Elephas maximus indicus: one gene and its partner. The protein of the gene in region 1 interacts with the protein of each later gene in a pairwise test. Links are inferred from orthologs where the notes say so. Each region holds a gene or a part of one and is shown in the gene's direction. Other genes may lie near its edges.

The links. The genes of interacting proteins can lie anywhere in the genome.
Region 2: the proteins of TSC22D4 (region 1) and NRBP1 interact in binary tests that used the Homo sapiens proteins (3 or more experiments, as listed by UniProt). The link is inferred for Elephas maximus indicus from reciprocal best matches to the Homo sapiens genes TSC22D4 and NRBP1.

Annotation. Positions count from the first base shown.
Region 1 is NC_064830.1:91,887,616-91,895,163, reverse strand, and holds the start of TSC22D4 (TSC22 domain family protein 4), read left to right. Parts: upstream 1-4,547; 5' UTR 4,548-5,215; intron 5,216-5,688; 5' UTR 5,689-5,950; coding exon 5,951-6,712; intron 6,713-7,548.
Region 2 is NC_064830.1:45,926,736-45,934,043, forward strand, and holds the start of NRBP1 (nuclear receptor-binding protein), read left to right. Parts: upstream 1-4,232; 5' UTR 4,233-4,349; intron 4,350-6,962; exon of another isoform or gene 6,963-6,967; 5' UTR 6,968-6,987; coding exon 6,988-7,197; intron 7,198-7,308. UniProt on the Homo sapiens protein: Required for embryonic development. Plays a role in intestinal epithelial cell fate and proliferation, thereby involved in the architectural development of the intestine potentially via the regulation of Wnt-responsive genes.

The DNA of each region.
Region 1 (7,548 bases):
GCGCGGGAGCTGGCTCGCTTGGGCTGGGTCTCCTCCCGCTGCAGCCTCCCAGGCGCCGGGACCTTGTTTCTTCGCCTAGGCTCAAAGTCTTCCACCCGTCCTCCCATGCAATCCAAGTCATCCACCCCATAACCTTTGACTCTGCCGGCGCCCTCCGCCAGGACCTGAGCGCACCAGGGTCCGAATCCTGACTTCGACCACCGCGGCCATGGCCCAGGTGCGGTGGCGGCGGCCACTGAGGATCGCGACTTCGGCCCCCTCCCTTTCAGTCACCTTTCTCGTCAGCTCCCTGAGAAATTGCTTCCTCGGAAAGCCCTTTGGCGCAGGGCTCTTAGGGTAAATTAACTGCAAGAAGACGGGTTTTTGCATTAACTGGCTATGTGACCTTGGGCAAATCGAGCAACCTTTCTGAGGTGTCTTATCTGCTGCCTAAGTTAATAGAATTTGAGATGAGAGGGTGGTCATTAGAATAATAGCTGCAAAAGGGCTTCACACAAAAGGGCTTCACACTTTAGGGGCTATTATAAATGCCCCCAGGAGAGGTAACACATTAAAGTGTTATTAGTCGTTTCCCATTTACACTTTAGTGTGAATGAATTTATATTTATTTATTCAACAAACTTCTCAGCAGAGACCTACTGTGTCCTAGGGTCTGTAGAAATGGAGTGGAGTCCAAGAAACTGACTGCCTGAGGGGTGGGAAAGGGTTGATGCCCAGAGCCAGAGAGTCCAAAGATTAAAAAAATAATAATAAGTTTTAAATAATTCGTGGAGTGTCAGTGATGAAGAAAGGAGGGCCGAGGGCAGAGCAGGCAGGGTTGTGTTTTGAGTGTTGCCAGATCGGGGAGAGGTGGGGACTTGGGGGGGGGGGCATATGGAAGGCTGCTTCCAGGACTTCACACTTGGGAGGCCTCATGACCAGGCTTAGGATTGTAGGCGTTGTTATCATGGCTAAAGGAAGAGAGGCAGGGGTCCAGATGCATTTTAATCAACAAAGAATAAATATATAAAGGAGGGTGGTATTTTATTTTTTGCTCAACCCTAAAGAGTGGTTAAGGAGCCCTGGTGGCACAGTAGTTAAAGTAATTGACTGCTAACCAAAAAGGTCGATGGTTCGAAACCACCAGGTGCTCGGTGGGAGAAAGATGTGGCAGTGTGCTTTCCACAGAGATTTACAGCTTGGAAACCCTATGGGGTCACTATGAGTCAGAATCAACTCCAAGCTTGGCAGTGGGTTCTTTGGTTTGAAAGAGTGGTTAGAAATTTCCATGAGATGAAGCCGAGGGAGGAGGGATGTGGGAAAGAGAGGGATGGTGGGAAGAGCCCTGAACTGGGAGTCAGAAAGCCCAGTGCTAGTCTTAGTTATAAAATACTAGCTCCGGGACCTTGGGCAAATGACCCAGTGTTTCTGAGCCTCAGTTTCCTTAGCAGAAACACTGGAGCTCAAAAGCCACCCTTTTTCCTCCCAGGGCTGTTTTGAAAATCCAGTGAGATACTTATGCAAAGTAGACAAATGTGAGGAATTTTTAATGTACTTGAGACCAGTTCCCTTTGATGGAAATGAATTAGAATCCATTTTCTTTTGAACCTGGGAGTGAAGGTAGACCTAGCCGTTAGAAACTGCTTTTGTTAAAATAATCCCTTTCAGAATGTTAGTTGGGGGTGGTTTAAAAAAAAAAAAAAAACAGAGAAGATGACAGTTGGAGGTTTATTTCTTCATGCCAAGCACATAGTAGGTCCTTAGTAAGTGTGTATGGATTCTCCTTCATAATACTAATGGATGGGGTAGGAGAGTGTATACATTGTCTATTTGCATTGCACATGCAGACAGGTTGTGCCTCAAAATTCCAGGCAGCTGTAAGACTGCTAGGAATGAGACACATAGAACCACTGGCATCAACCATTCTTTGGGTGCTGTGTTTATCTGTGATCAAGCCAGACCCACAAGACATTTAAATCCATTGCTGTGGAATTGATTCCAACTCATAGCAACCCTATAGGACAGAGTAAAACTGCCCCAGAGGGTTTCCAACTGCTATCCTTTTGGTTGGCAACTGAGCTCTTAACCATTGCACCATCAGGGCTCCATTGTTTCCAGAATGCAAACGAAAACAACAGAATCTCCAAGGGGAAATGCTTGCCCTTCCCCAAATTACCCATATCCATTTTTTTATTCTTATGTCGCTGGGCAGGCGCTCTGTGGTTCAAGTCAGACGCTGTTTTTACATCCACCACCACACTGCCCTGCCGGAGGCTTCTGCTCTGCTGCTGGGCCTTACCTCTCTGGTGGGAAGACCCCTGCACAGGATCTCCCAAGCCTCTGCCACTGGGCCCTTCTTCTTCTTCTTTTTTTTAATGATTTTTATTGTGCTTTAAGTGAAAGTTTACAAATCAAGTCAGTCTCACATAAAAACTTACATGCACCTTGCTACATACTCCCAATTACTCTCCCCCTCATGAGACAAAAAAAAAAAAAAAAATTTTTTTTTTTTTTTAATGAGACAGCCTGCTCTCTCCCTCCACTCTCTCTTTTCATGTCTATTTCGCCAGCTTCTAACCCCCTCCACCCTCTCATCTCCCCTCCAGGCAGGAGATGCCAACATAGTCTCAAGTGTCCACCTGATCCAAGAAGCTCACTCCTCACCAGCATCCCTCTCCAACCCATTGTCCAGTCCAATCCACGTCTGAAGAGTTGGCTTCAGGAATGGTTCCTGTCCTGGGCCAACAGAAGCTCTGGGGGCCATGACCACTGGGGTCCTTCCAGTCTCATACCATTAAGTCTGGTCTTTTTATGAGAATTGGGGTCAGCATCCCACTGCTTTCCTGCTCCCTCAGGGGTACTCTGTTGTGTTCCCTGTCAGGGCAGTCATCAGTTGTAGCCAGGCACCATCTAGTTCTTCTGGTCTCAGGATGATGTAGTCTCTGGTTCATGTGGCGCTTTCTGTCTCTTGGGCTCGCAATTACCTGTGTCCTTGATGTTCTTCATTCTCCTTTGATCCAGGTGGCTTGAGACCAATTGATGCTTCTTAGATGGCTGCTTGCTAGCGTTTAAGACCCCAGATGGCCATTGGGCCCTTCTAAGTCTCTGCCACTGGCTCTCACCATACCACCCAGGCTTGCACTGTCTGAGGGCCTGTGTGGCTCCTGCCACACTGCTCAAGGGGGGTGGGAAGTGTGTGTAGCCCTTGTACAGGGCATACTCAGGCCTCTCTTGCCCTGCACAAGTAAGCTTTACAGTTCTTCTGGCTCCCCGGACAGGCGTCCTGCTCAAAGGTGCTCAGCTATTGCTCAGTGGGCCAGCAAGCCTACTGCCTGTCTCTCACTGTCTTCAGTGTTACAGTTCTTTCTTCTGGGTCTAGGAGGTTCTTGGTGCAAGGACCCTGGGTCCTTGGTTCAAAGGATGTACTGTGCTCCAGATTCTTCTTGAACCTCTGTGGGATTGACCCTTATATAAGCCTAAACCAGAAACCAAATCCACTGCCATCCAGTGGATTCCAAATCATAGCAACCCTACAGGACAGAGAAGAACTGCCCCATAGTGTTTCCAAGGCTGTAAACCTTCACAGAAGCAGACTACCACATTTTTCTCCCATGGAGTAGCTGGTGGCTTCAAACCTCTGACCTATCAGTTAGTAGCCAACAGCTGCCAGGGCTCTCTTTATATGAGCCTATGTCAATTTCAACAAATGACCCTCCCATCAGGACCACAAGCTGCCAATCACCTCAGTAGACCATAAATCATTGAGTTTGCATAGTTCTAGCCAATCGTTCTGTGGGATTTACAAAACCGTGCCCTTAGAAAGGCCATATAAAAGCCATTCTTTACACCTCAGAGAGGTAGGAAGGATTAGCGGTAGGGGAGGGAGTCTATGCTTCTGACCAGCCAGGGATGCATCTGTGTGGGTGACTGTGTGTATAAACACGTGTGTCCAGCAATTGGAGAGAAAGTGCAAGTCAGCACCTGCATCTGTGTGTCTGTGCATGTTTTTATATTTGGGGGCTAGCCGAGGACACACCTGAGTATGTGGTGTCCCTGCTCTACCACTGACAGCCTTTTTGAACCTCCTGGGTCTTAATTTCCACATCTAAGAAGGGCGATATATGATGTCTGGCATTTGATTTTAGATACTCGAGCCAAATACAACAAAAGATATTGGTGGGTAGACACGAAACAAAATTAGCTGTGAGTTGATAATTGCTTAAACTAGAATGATGGGAGCTCATTATACTGTTCTCTACTTTTGTACATGTTTGCAATTTTCCTTAATATACTTTTTAAAACAAGGGGGGGCGGGGATTAATAGTACCTTCCTCATACAGTTACTGTGAAGACCAAAAAAGTTACAACTAGTAACAGCTACAGCAGCATCATAAGTTTTACTAGGCACTTATGAGTTTTTTTTTTTTTTATGGGGTACCAGGCACCCAATACAGTGCCTGGTGTATTCCTTCCGACTCTTATGTGTGTCTGTAGGCCAATGCCCGCACTTGCCTACAAGTAGGGGAATCCCTCGCCTCCCTGCAAACTCCTCCCCTTTCTCTCCGCCCTCCACAGCCCCTCCCTCCGAGGAAGAGCTGGGCTCGGGCCCAGCAGGTGTGGGGTTAAGGGAGCCTGTTTGGGGCCCCAAGATCAGCAGCAGCAACTGCAACAGCCGTGGCGGCTGTGGCAGGCCTGGCCCCCGGCCAAGTGGCCGGGAGCCCCAGGAAGGAGGGAAGAAGGGAGGGGGAAGAGGGAAAGGAGGCGGAGGAGAGAAGCAGTCAGCAGGCCCGAGGAGGCAGGACTTCCTGGTGTGGGGGTTGTCAACAGCCCAGAAGGGGAAAGACAGAGACCAAGAGCGAGAGGAGCTGAGGAGCAGAGACAGAACCAGCGTTGCCACGCGGGAGGAGACTTGGGACAGCCATTCGCCAAGACCACCGACGCCAGCTGCCCCAGGGGGAGGCTTTCCATTTGGAAGAGCGGCGGGCGAGCCGCCCCCTCCCAAATTGGTTGGGAGACGCCTGGGGCTTCAGAGGCCGAGCCTAGGCTCCATCCTAGAGGTTCCTTGCTTTTCTGGAGAGCAAACTTTCCCCGGAGATGCCTTGTGGGGTGAGGTGCGGCCCCCGAAGAGGACTGGGCAGCCTGTGATCGCCGCCTGCTCTCGGCGCTGTGGGGGCCGGAGGCACCAGGGGAAGGACAGCCTGACACCTTAGCCAGGACCCCCAGCTCGGCCTGAGAGGTAGGACTCTGGGCTGGGCGGGGCGCTGGGGCGGGGGTAGGGGTGGGGGGCAGGGCATGCTTGGCGGCCCCAGCCCCCTGGATGTGGGAGCTGGTATGGGGTCTTGAGGCCAGGCCGAGGAGCTGCTTCACCTCTGTTCACCTGGGCCACGGAGCCCTTGCCTTAGGGACTTTCGGGCCCTGTGAATTGTAATCCAAGGCAAGAAGTGCCAAACTTTGGGGCATGTCTGCCTCTTCCTGCTCCGTGCGCCCTCTGGGATCGCAGCCTTCCGCGCTCTGATCTCTGCCATCTCTGCCAGACTCTTTGTCTCTGGGTCTCTGGTGGTTTCCCCTTCCTCCCCACCCCCCCGCCCCACATCATGCTCCCCAGAGAGGAAGCCCCAGAGGTGGCCTGCCCACTGCTTTCTCTCTCTCACACACAATATAGGCACATACACTCCCTCACTCACTCTCTCTCTCTCTCTCTCTTTCCAGTTTGCAAACTCAGCTGTGGAGTTCGATAGCGACAGCAGCAGGAAAAACCTGCCCTTTCCACCCCCCCTTCCCTACCCTGTTCTCCCTTCACCAACCAGGCACCCCCAGCTCCCCAAGACCCTCCTGCCATGTCGGACCCAGATGTCCCCAGGGGCTCTGATGTCCCCGCCATGTGGCCTCCCTGTTCCAGGGGCGCCTGAGCCTCTGCGAGGAGCCCCAGCCGCCCCCGCCCACCTCGGCCTAGTCCTGAGTCCCAGGGACTATGAGTGGGGGCAAGAAGAAGAGTAGTTTCCAAATCACCAGCGTCACCACGGACTATGAGGGCCCAGGGAGCCCGGGGGGTGCAGACTCCCCTACCCCACCGGCCCCCACCAGGCCCCCACTCCGGCTGCCCAACGGGGAGCCCAACCCTGAGCCAGGGGGCAAGGGCACCCCCCGGAACGGCTCCCCACCGCCTGGGGCCCCCGCTTCCCGTTTCCGGGTGGTAAAGCTGCCCCAGGGTCTGGGAGAGCCTTATCGCCGAGGTCGGTGGACGTGTGTGGATGTTTACGATAGAGACCTGGAGCCCCCTAACTTCGGCCGCCTACTGGAGGGAATTCGAGGGGCCTCGGGGGGCACTGGAGGCAGGTCATTGGATTCCAGGTTGGAGGTGGCCAGCTTGGGCCTGGGCACCCCCACCCCACAGCCAGGCCTGTCTCAGGGCCCCACCTCCTGGCTCCGCCCGCCCCCCACCTCACCCGGACCTCAGGCCCGCTCCTTAACCAGAGGGCTGGGCCAGATGGCGGTAACCGGCAAGGCAATGGTGGAAACATCCCCCCTGTCGGCCTCCCCGCCCCAGCAGCGCCCCCCAGAGCCTGGGACCCGGGATAGCGAGGGCACATCCCGGGCCCCCACCCCCCTGCCCTCCCTGAGGGTGGAAGTGGAGCCTAGGAATTCAGCAGCGGGGACTCCTCCACTGTCCCGAAGGAATGATGGAGCCCTGCAGCTGAGGATGGAGTTGGTGGCTCCAGAGGAGACAGGGCAGGTAAGAGCAGGTCCCAGGGTGAAGGAGACACCTGGGGGGCAGTGCTCATCCATCTCAGTCTTGGCCTAACTTCCATCCTGGGCCTCCTGCCTCCACCTCCATACTGCCTTCCGTCCTCACTCCATTATCCTCTATCTGCTCAGTAGCCTCTCCTTTCTCTTCCTGCCACCTCACTTTGAGGTCCATTCCTACTCCTTACCGCACTTTGTTTTCTCTCAGGTTCCCCCTCCACTGTGTTCTGCATTTTCTATCCCTTTGGTTTTAATTTGTTGCCTTTGTCCCTCATCTCTGTGGTCCAGTTCTAGCCTCTCCACCTCTCTGTGGCTTCCTCACTTTGGCCTTCACCTTATCTTGGTCTCACTCCTTCCCCCCAACTCCAGGAGTTGAGGGTGGAGGCCCCAGTAGGGCTGGGCAGTTGGGCCTCTGAGGAAGGAGCTTCCAGGGTTTTGGGGGATAGGAGCAAAAAGTAAGCATTCCACTGTAAGCCGTTTTCTCCATGGCAGCCCCATTCTGCATGTGGGGTCTTCTGTCTTCTCCACTAGCCCCCATCTGAGCCCCATTTTCATCTATGAATAAAGTCAAGTTTCTCTTCCTGAAGAATTGGGTTCGGGGGCACATTATAGGAATAGGGGGCTTGCTAGTTTCCCTTCTCCACCCCCAGTTCCGTAGGTCTCTCCAGGGGGTGGCCACCATTGAGTGCTACCTTCCTTGGGAGAAGGTGGAAAGCAGCTGAGAAAGAGTTAAGTCATCTGCTCTTTCTGCTTCCGGTCTCCAAAAGAGGAACAAACCAGGGGGAGGCCAGGATGCCTGGGTCCCTGGGGGGGGGGCAACTAGGG
Region 2 (7,308 bases), about 46 Mb from region 1:
TTTAGTTTTTACAAAATCCCTAAATTTCTGTTTATCTGGAAATGTCCTCATTTCACCTTCATATTTGAGAGACAATTTTGTTGGATATATAATTGTTGGCTGGCAGTTTTTTTCCTTCAAAACTTTATATAAGTCGTCCCATTGCCTTCTCGCCTGCATGGTTTCTGCCGAGTAGTCCGAGCTTATTCTTATTGACTGTCCTTTTGCAGGTGACTTTTCGCTTATCCCTAGCTGCTCTTAAAATTCTCTATCTTTGGTTTTGGCAAATTTGATTTTAATGTCTTGGTGACTTTCTTTTAAAATCTACATTATGTGGAGTTCGATGAGCATCTTGGATAGATATCTTCTCATCTTTCACGATATCAGGGAAGTTTTCTGCCAACAAATCTTCAACAACTCTCTCTGATTTTCTGTTATCCCTCCCTGTTCTGGTACTCCAATCACTTGTAGGTTATTTCTCTTGATAGAGTCCCACATTATTCTTATGTTTTTTTCATTTTTTAAAATTCTTTTATCTGATTTTCCTTCAAGTATATTGGTGCCAAGTCCTTTACCTTCAAGGTCCCCAATTCTGCCTTCTGCTTGCTTGATTCTGCTCCTCTGCCTTTCTATCGAGTTGTCTAATTTTGTAATTTTATTGTTAATCTTCTGAATTTCCAATTGGTGTCTCTCTATGGATTCTTGCAGTTTATTAAATTTTTCATTATGTTCTTGAAGAACCTTTTTAATTTCTTCAACTGTTTTATCTGTGTGTTCCTTGGCTTGTTCTGTGTATTGCCTGATCTCCTTCCTTATGTCTTGAATAGTTCCGTATATTAATCTTTTGAATTCTGCATCTGGTAATTCCAGGAAGGCATCTTTATCCAGAAGATCCTTTGATTCTCTGTTTTGAGAGCTTGTTGACGTGATCATGGTGTGTTTCTTTATGTGGTTTGATATTGACTGTTGTCTCCAAGCCATCTATAAGTTATTGTTTTAGTTTATTTTATGTTTGCTTACTGTATCCTAGTTTCTTGCTTTGTTTTGTTTTGTTATGCCCAAATGGCTTGCTTGAGTGAGCTAGCTTGACTGTTTTCGCCTTTGGACCTCTGACATCCTGTCACCAGATGGCTAGAGCTGTTATCAGGTATATGAGATTATGAGTCCATTCACTTTTCTTGTGTGAATTCAGCTCAGGTGTCCAGGTAGCTGGTCATCAAGTGTGTGGTACAGGCTCTGTCCTATAGTCTTAGAGGGGCAGGGGTGTTCGGTGTAGGTACCAGTATCTGGTTGCAGCAGGGGGTCATGCTCTGAACAAGGCAGGGGGCTGAGAAGTGTCCCGAGTGTCTCTGAGGAGAGCATGTCCCTCTTCCCTAGAGCGTGCAGGTGGGTGGGTTCTGCAGATGGACCATGGGCACCCAATGCTTTTGGTTGTAAGGACTAGGAGGTACCAGTTATCCATGGACCCCTGTCATGGGTGGCTGGGTGACTTGAGAGGAGCCACCAGTCCTTAGGCCCCTGATGTTTGTAGGTGAGGACCCTGTTTAATAGGCAAAGCCATGTCAAATAACAAACATCCACCTCTCCACTGCACAGGTTAAACAGTCACAATCTGCCAGTAAGGGCCTATTCTTCTGGAATAGGCCCACACAGGTCCATCCAGGGGGGAAAGGTATTCAATGTCCACAGACCATTTATGCTTGGACATGAGCTGCTTCTGTCCTGAGCTCCCCAGGTTAGTGGAGCTGGCAAATTATCTTTTCCCCCTGTTGTGAATTTATTCCTTCTCCAAGTCCAGGAGCATGGCTCAGGGCGTTCAAATGGGCCTATCTCAGGCCCAGGGAAATCAACAGCCACTGAAGCCAGCTTGGGGGTGGGGGGTGCTGTAAAATATACGCAAGTACTTAGATTTTGCCGAGAGCACCATTTTTCTCTGGTTCCAGAGGTGTGAGTAGGCTGTGCGGCTGGCTATTTCTCCCTGAGGAAACTGCGGCAGAACACTACAACCAGCCCGCCACAGCCACTTCCAGGAATGGTGCCTGAGGGATCTCAGACATTCAGGTCCGGCAACTCCTGTCTGCTTCTGAATGGTCTCACTCTCCACCTGCCACTTGGTCCATTTTCTAACCTTGCCTTTGATGTTCAGGGCTCCTAGCTTGTCATAATTGTTTCACTTGATTTTTCGGGTCTTTGTTGTAAGATGGAACGCAGGAAGCATCTGGCTATTCCGCCATCTTCTATCTGAGCATGTTAAATGTGAATGAAAGTTTAAAAATAAGATGAAAGCATGAGTATGCCAAAGGGTCCTCTGTGCATATTGGAAAGAAGAAGGTAGTTCAAAGGGAAAGGTTGATAATTCTAAGGTCCCAGATGGAAGAGAATGGGAAACTATAATGATTACATCAACTGACATTTAATAAATACCTACCATGGGCCAGGCATTTCAATTGTGTTAGAACCCACAGGGAGAAGAAGTTAAGCTGGGAAGAGGTAGGTACATCTTTTCCTTTGAGATTAGAACAAAGATTCTTAATCTCAACTCCCTGAAATTATATGCTAAACTTAGTGGGCAAGTGCATTAAAAAAAAAAAAAAAAAAATCCAAAAGGCAGCCCATATCTTTCATCAGATTTCTAAAAAGTGTGTTTGAGCCCTCTCTTTCAAAGATAAAAGAATTAAGGAAGGGTGAAAGATTGGTTTTAGAAATAAATACTTTGAGGTGAAGAGATAAGAAAATGAGATGGCTTCTGCAAGTTATCCCTTTCAAGGCCTAATTATTTTCTGCTTTGAATTTTAAATGGAATGCATGCTGAATCATTGAGTGTGTCTGAATTTTTCAGCAGTATGAATTTTTTATTGCCTCACCCCACCAATCCTACCCTCAGTGTCCAGAGGGACATATGTGTTCCAAATAATTTTTTAAAATCAAAATCCATCTTTTACCTACCAAAAGTATTGATTCAGCACTTCATACAATACCCTGTAAAAGGAGTAATTTGTGGCACACACTCATTTCTTCCATTTCAAGCAATTATATAGGTCCTCACCTTGCAGCAGCACACACTGCGAGAAAAGTTTCCCAAGAAACCTCAGAGGCAGACTATGTAAGTGAGCAATATATTTCCCACAGGTTGGGAAAGGATTATCCTCTCGATGAAGTAGGATTGTTGTTAGGTGCCATCGAGTCAATAACGACTCATAGTGACCCCATGTGACAGATTGGAACTACCCCTTTTGGTTTTGATCTTGACGGAAACAGATTGCCAGAGCCAGGCGTTTCTCCTACTAGCCGCTAGGTAAAGATGACCAGGTGTTTCTCCTTTGGAACCACTGGGCGGGTTCCAACTGCCAACCTTTTAGTTAGCAGGCTAGTGCTTAACTATTTGAGCCACCAGGGCTCCTCTGAAGTAGGATTAGATTCTCTTTAGGACAGTGAAATTTGGTGATTATGACATTCCCAAATTCTGGTGATTGGCTTATCTTCTCCCCTCCGGTGTATATGTCTAATGGCAAATTGAACTTCCATCCTTTAGGCTCTGCATATACTTTTCTGGGATCAATGGGTTCACCCAAAATCCATTTTTTACACCTCACCCAATCTAAGTTCTCCAAATATCTTCTCAATGAGGTCTTCTTCGGTGAATCTTATTTCAGATTCTGGTTTTGGCTGTCATCAACCTAACTTTGGATAGTTTAGTGCCTTTTATTCAGTTTTTATTTTTGTATTTGTCGACTATCAATGATAAAATTTCAATGAGTTCTTCTGAAAATCATCAAATAACATTTATGAAATGCTCTTGCAAAGTTTTGGCAAATAACAGTACTATGCAATCACAAAGCGTAGTGATTTTTTTTTTTTTCCTAAAGCTTTCTGAGGAATTGGTGTCCTGGCCACTGCCTCATCCCTAAATAAAGTGGGTGGACGCTCCTCTCAGACTTTCGCTCCTTTTGTCTTTTGGTCGGATTAGAACTGTCATGGCGCCTTCAAGAAGACAGGGGAGATCTTTGTCTAGCAGAATCACCGGGGGTTCCTGGACTGGGTACAGGGGTGGACAGAGAAGAGGTCCCCAGGTGGAATGGAAAAGGCCGAACTCCCCGAGCGGCCCCCGCCAGACCGGCTCAAGGGGAAGAGGCCCGGTTGAAGACTCCCTCCCACTGACCCTCTAAACTGGGCACCGCCCACTCAGCCGTCTTGTCCAATGGAAACCTAAGGCAGTGCGGCACCGCCCATCTGTTGGTCAGGACGCCGCGAGGGCGGGGCCCGTAGTTCGGTTGCGCTGTGGAGCGCAGCTGTGAGGGAGTCTCTCTGATCCGGGGCCCCGGAACCCGAGCTGGAGCTGAAGCGCAGGCTGCGGGGAGCGGTGTCCGGAGGTGAGCGCAGAAGGGAACGAGGGAATCGGGTGGGAGGTCGGCAAGGGGACGAAAGGATCGGCTTCCGAGCCCCAGGGCGTTGGACCCCGGCAGGCGGGTGCCTGAAGGCGGCCTTGCTCACTCGGAAGCCCGGGCCGGCCCGCCTGAGCCCGGGGGCCGCCTCTGCCCCACAGTCCCTGCCTGGCCCTCCTCAACCTCCTCGGAGTGGAGGCGGCCCGGAATTCCGCCCGCGCGGGTCGGGAGGGCCCTGACGTTCGCTTCGAACTCTGGCTGACGAGGGCGGGGCCGACGGGCGGGGGCGGGGCGGGCGGGCGGTGCGGGCCCGGCGGCCTGCGGAAGCGCTGCGGCCGGCGCGCTGGCTGCGCGGGGGCGTGGCCTCCGCCCTGACGGCGCCGCCCGCCAGCCCGCTGGCCTTTGATGAGGTGGCCGCAGCGCACTTTGGGGCCTGCGGGCCGCGCTGTTCCAGACACCGGGCAGGGCGACCTGTTGGAATGCGAAATTCGGAGGGCCTCTTCTTCTCTAGAGCTTGCTTTATTTCTGACTGGACAGTTTTGCGGGTCTCGGACCTTTTTGGTCAGCTCAGGAGAGGCCCGGGCCTGCGAGCTGTTGCTGAGGAGTTGAAACACAGAGGGGCGACAGTTCAGTAAATGAAAGTCTCTGAGAAAAACTTAGCGGGACGACCTACACTGCTCAGAAGTGAACATACTGTGCATCTTGAGGTGACTGGAGGCAGCGAGGAGATTCCCCTATGGGCGTAAATTCAACAGACATTCATTCGAGTGCCTGTCACAGGCCAAACACTAACAAAAAAACAAACCCGTTGCAGTTGAGTGGATTCCGACTCTTAGTGACCCTGGAGAACCAAGTAGAGCTGCCCCATAGGGTTTCCAAGGAGCGGTTGGTGGATTCGAACTGCCAACCTTTTGGTTAGCAGCCAAGCTCTTAACCGCTACTGGGAAAAGACTGGGGAGGGAAGGGACAAGCACATTTTAAGGGCATCTCTTTGATGAAAGCTCCTCTTCTCTTGTGGTGCCCTACTGTCGATTAGTAGTTGTTTGTGCCCTGGTGGGTTTGAAGCGTGGACTCTTGGTTAGCGGCCCAGCACTTTAACCACTGCGACACCTGGGCTCCTGAATTCCACTGATATTTCCTATTATAATCTAGCTGGAAATTTTTCTTAGCTGTTCCACATACCAGATGCATTCATTGATTATAGTTGCTCTAGAAATTAACCGATACAAACTTTCTTATCCATTTTCTTAGCTACTTTTCATGGGAAGAAGGAGAATGATCTCTGGTAGATTATTAAGGCGTGGTTTCGCGGCTTGGCTGAGTGAAATCTCTTTGGGAAGCCAGGACTTAGAAAATAACATGGAGAAAGAGTATCTTACCAGATTTTCTCTGTACTGCCTTGTTGCTTCTTGGTGTTTACTAGAATTTCATCTAATAGAAATTTCTGGACTTGGGTTGAATATAGTGTGAGTTGGGGGTATGGGTGGGCAGAAGTGGGCATCACAGAGTTCTAAAAAAGAAATGTGGACTTTTCAAAATATTGGTGTTGCTTGGAGGCTCCTGGCATTCTGAACTAAGAGGAGCAAATTTACTTTTCAGAATATCAGTTTTATACTAAAGAGCATTGCCTTGACCCAGCACACACAGGTTCCAACTCCTTCACAGCCTTTGTTCTTAGAGATAGGGAATAACATTCAGTGACTGTCTTTTGACTTTCTGGAAGTTAGTGACATTTCGCTTTTAAGGATTCTTTTTCTTAGAATTCTTTTCTAAGAGTTCTTTTTCTCAGCCATGTTCTGAGAAATTTTATACTATACAGTACTTTCTTTTACAAAGGCTGTATCTTAAGTTATTTGTCAGATTCAATGCCCCAAAGCATGGAAACTTAGGAATGTTTAAGCCATGTGAATGAAATGGAAACTGGAAACAAAGTCTTAGAACTGCTTTGAATTTGTGACTACATGCGTTCGGGGGATCTCATTTATTTTGTTCACTATTATATCTCAAGCAGATAGCCCAGTGCTTGGCCCATGATAAGTGCTTAATAAACATTTGTTGCATGAATGAATGAAAAAAAAATGTTGCTAACCAGTACTCATTAGCCACACTCACATTTTTAAGGTCATTAGGGGTGAGGTCACTAACCTCTGCCAGTCACTTGGACCAAGGATAGCCTCACCATGGATTGGTAGGCTTGTTCTGTGTCTAGGAGGATGGATAGTGAATGCCAAGTTTAGTTCTAGCTGGGTAAATCAACTAAGAGTTTCAGCTGGATAAAGTCAGCCTAAGTGTTAGATCAGTAGAACATTTTAGAGTTCACACTCATCTGTTCTGAACTTGGGTGCTCTGAAAGGAAAGGCTATTGGATGAATATTTTTGCTGTTTACTTGGATCTTACTAGGTGGGGTTATACTTCCTCCTCTTCTCTAGACTAGTCTTAGGAGAATAGTTAATGTTTGAATATTCAAGCAGCATTAATTCTCATTTTGGAAACAAAGGAGGTTTTTTTTTTTAATTTTCTTTCAAATAAGGTTATTAGGATTATTTTTATAGATCTGTCTTGATACCTTCTACCTTCCCCTTCCCTCCTTGCCCAACCAGTGCAGGACTGAGTGTTCCTTCCAGCATGTCGGAGGGGGAGTCCCAGACGGTACTCAGCAGTGGCTCAGATGCAAAGGTAGAATCCTCATCCTCAGCTCCTGGCCTGACGTCAGTGTCACCTCCCGTGACCTCCACAACTTCAGCTGCCTCCCCAGAGGAGGAAGAAGAAAGTGAAGATGAGTCTGAGATCTTGGAAGAGTCACCTTGTGGTCGCTGGCAGAAGAGGCGAGAAGAGGTAAGGCGGTGGTAACGGCACTCTTGGGAGAATGAATTCTAAGGTGAGAACTAGAGGGGCAAAAGTCTCAAAGGGGCAGACCAAACTTCAACAGGCTGGGGGCTAAGAAAA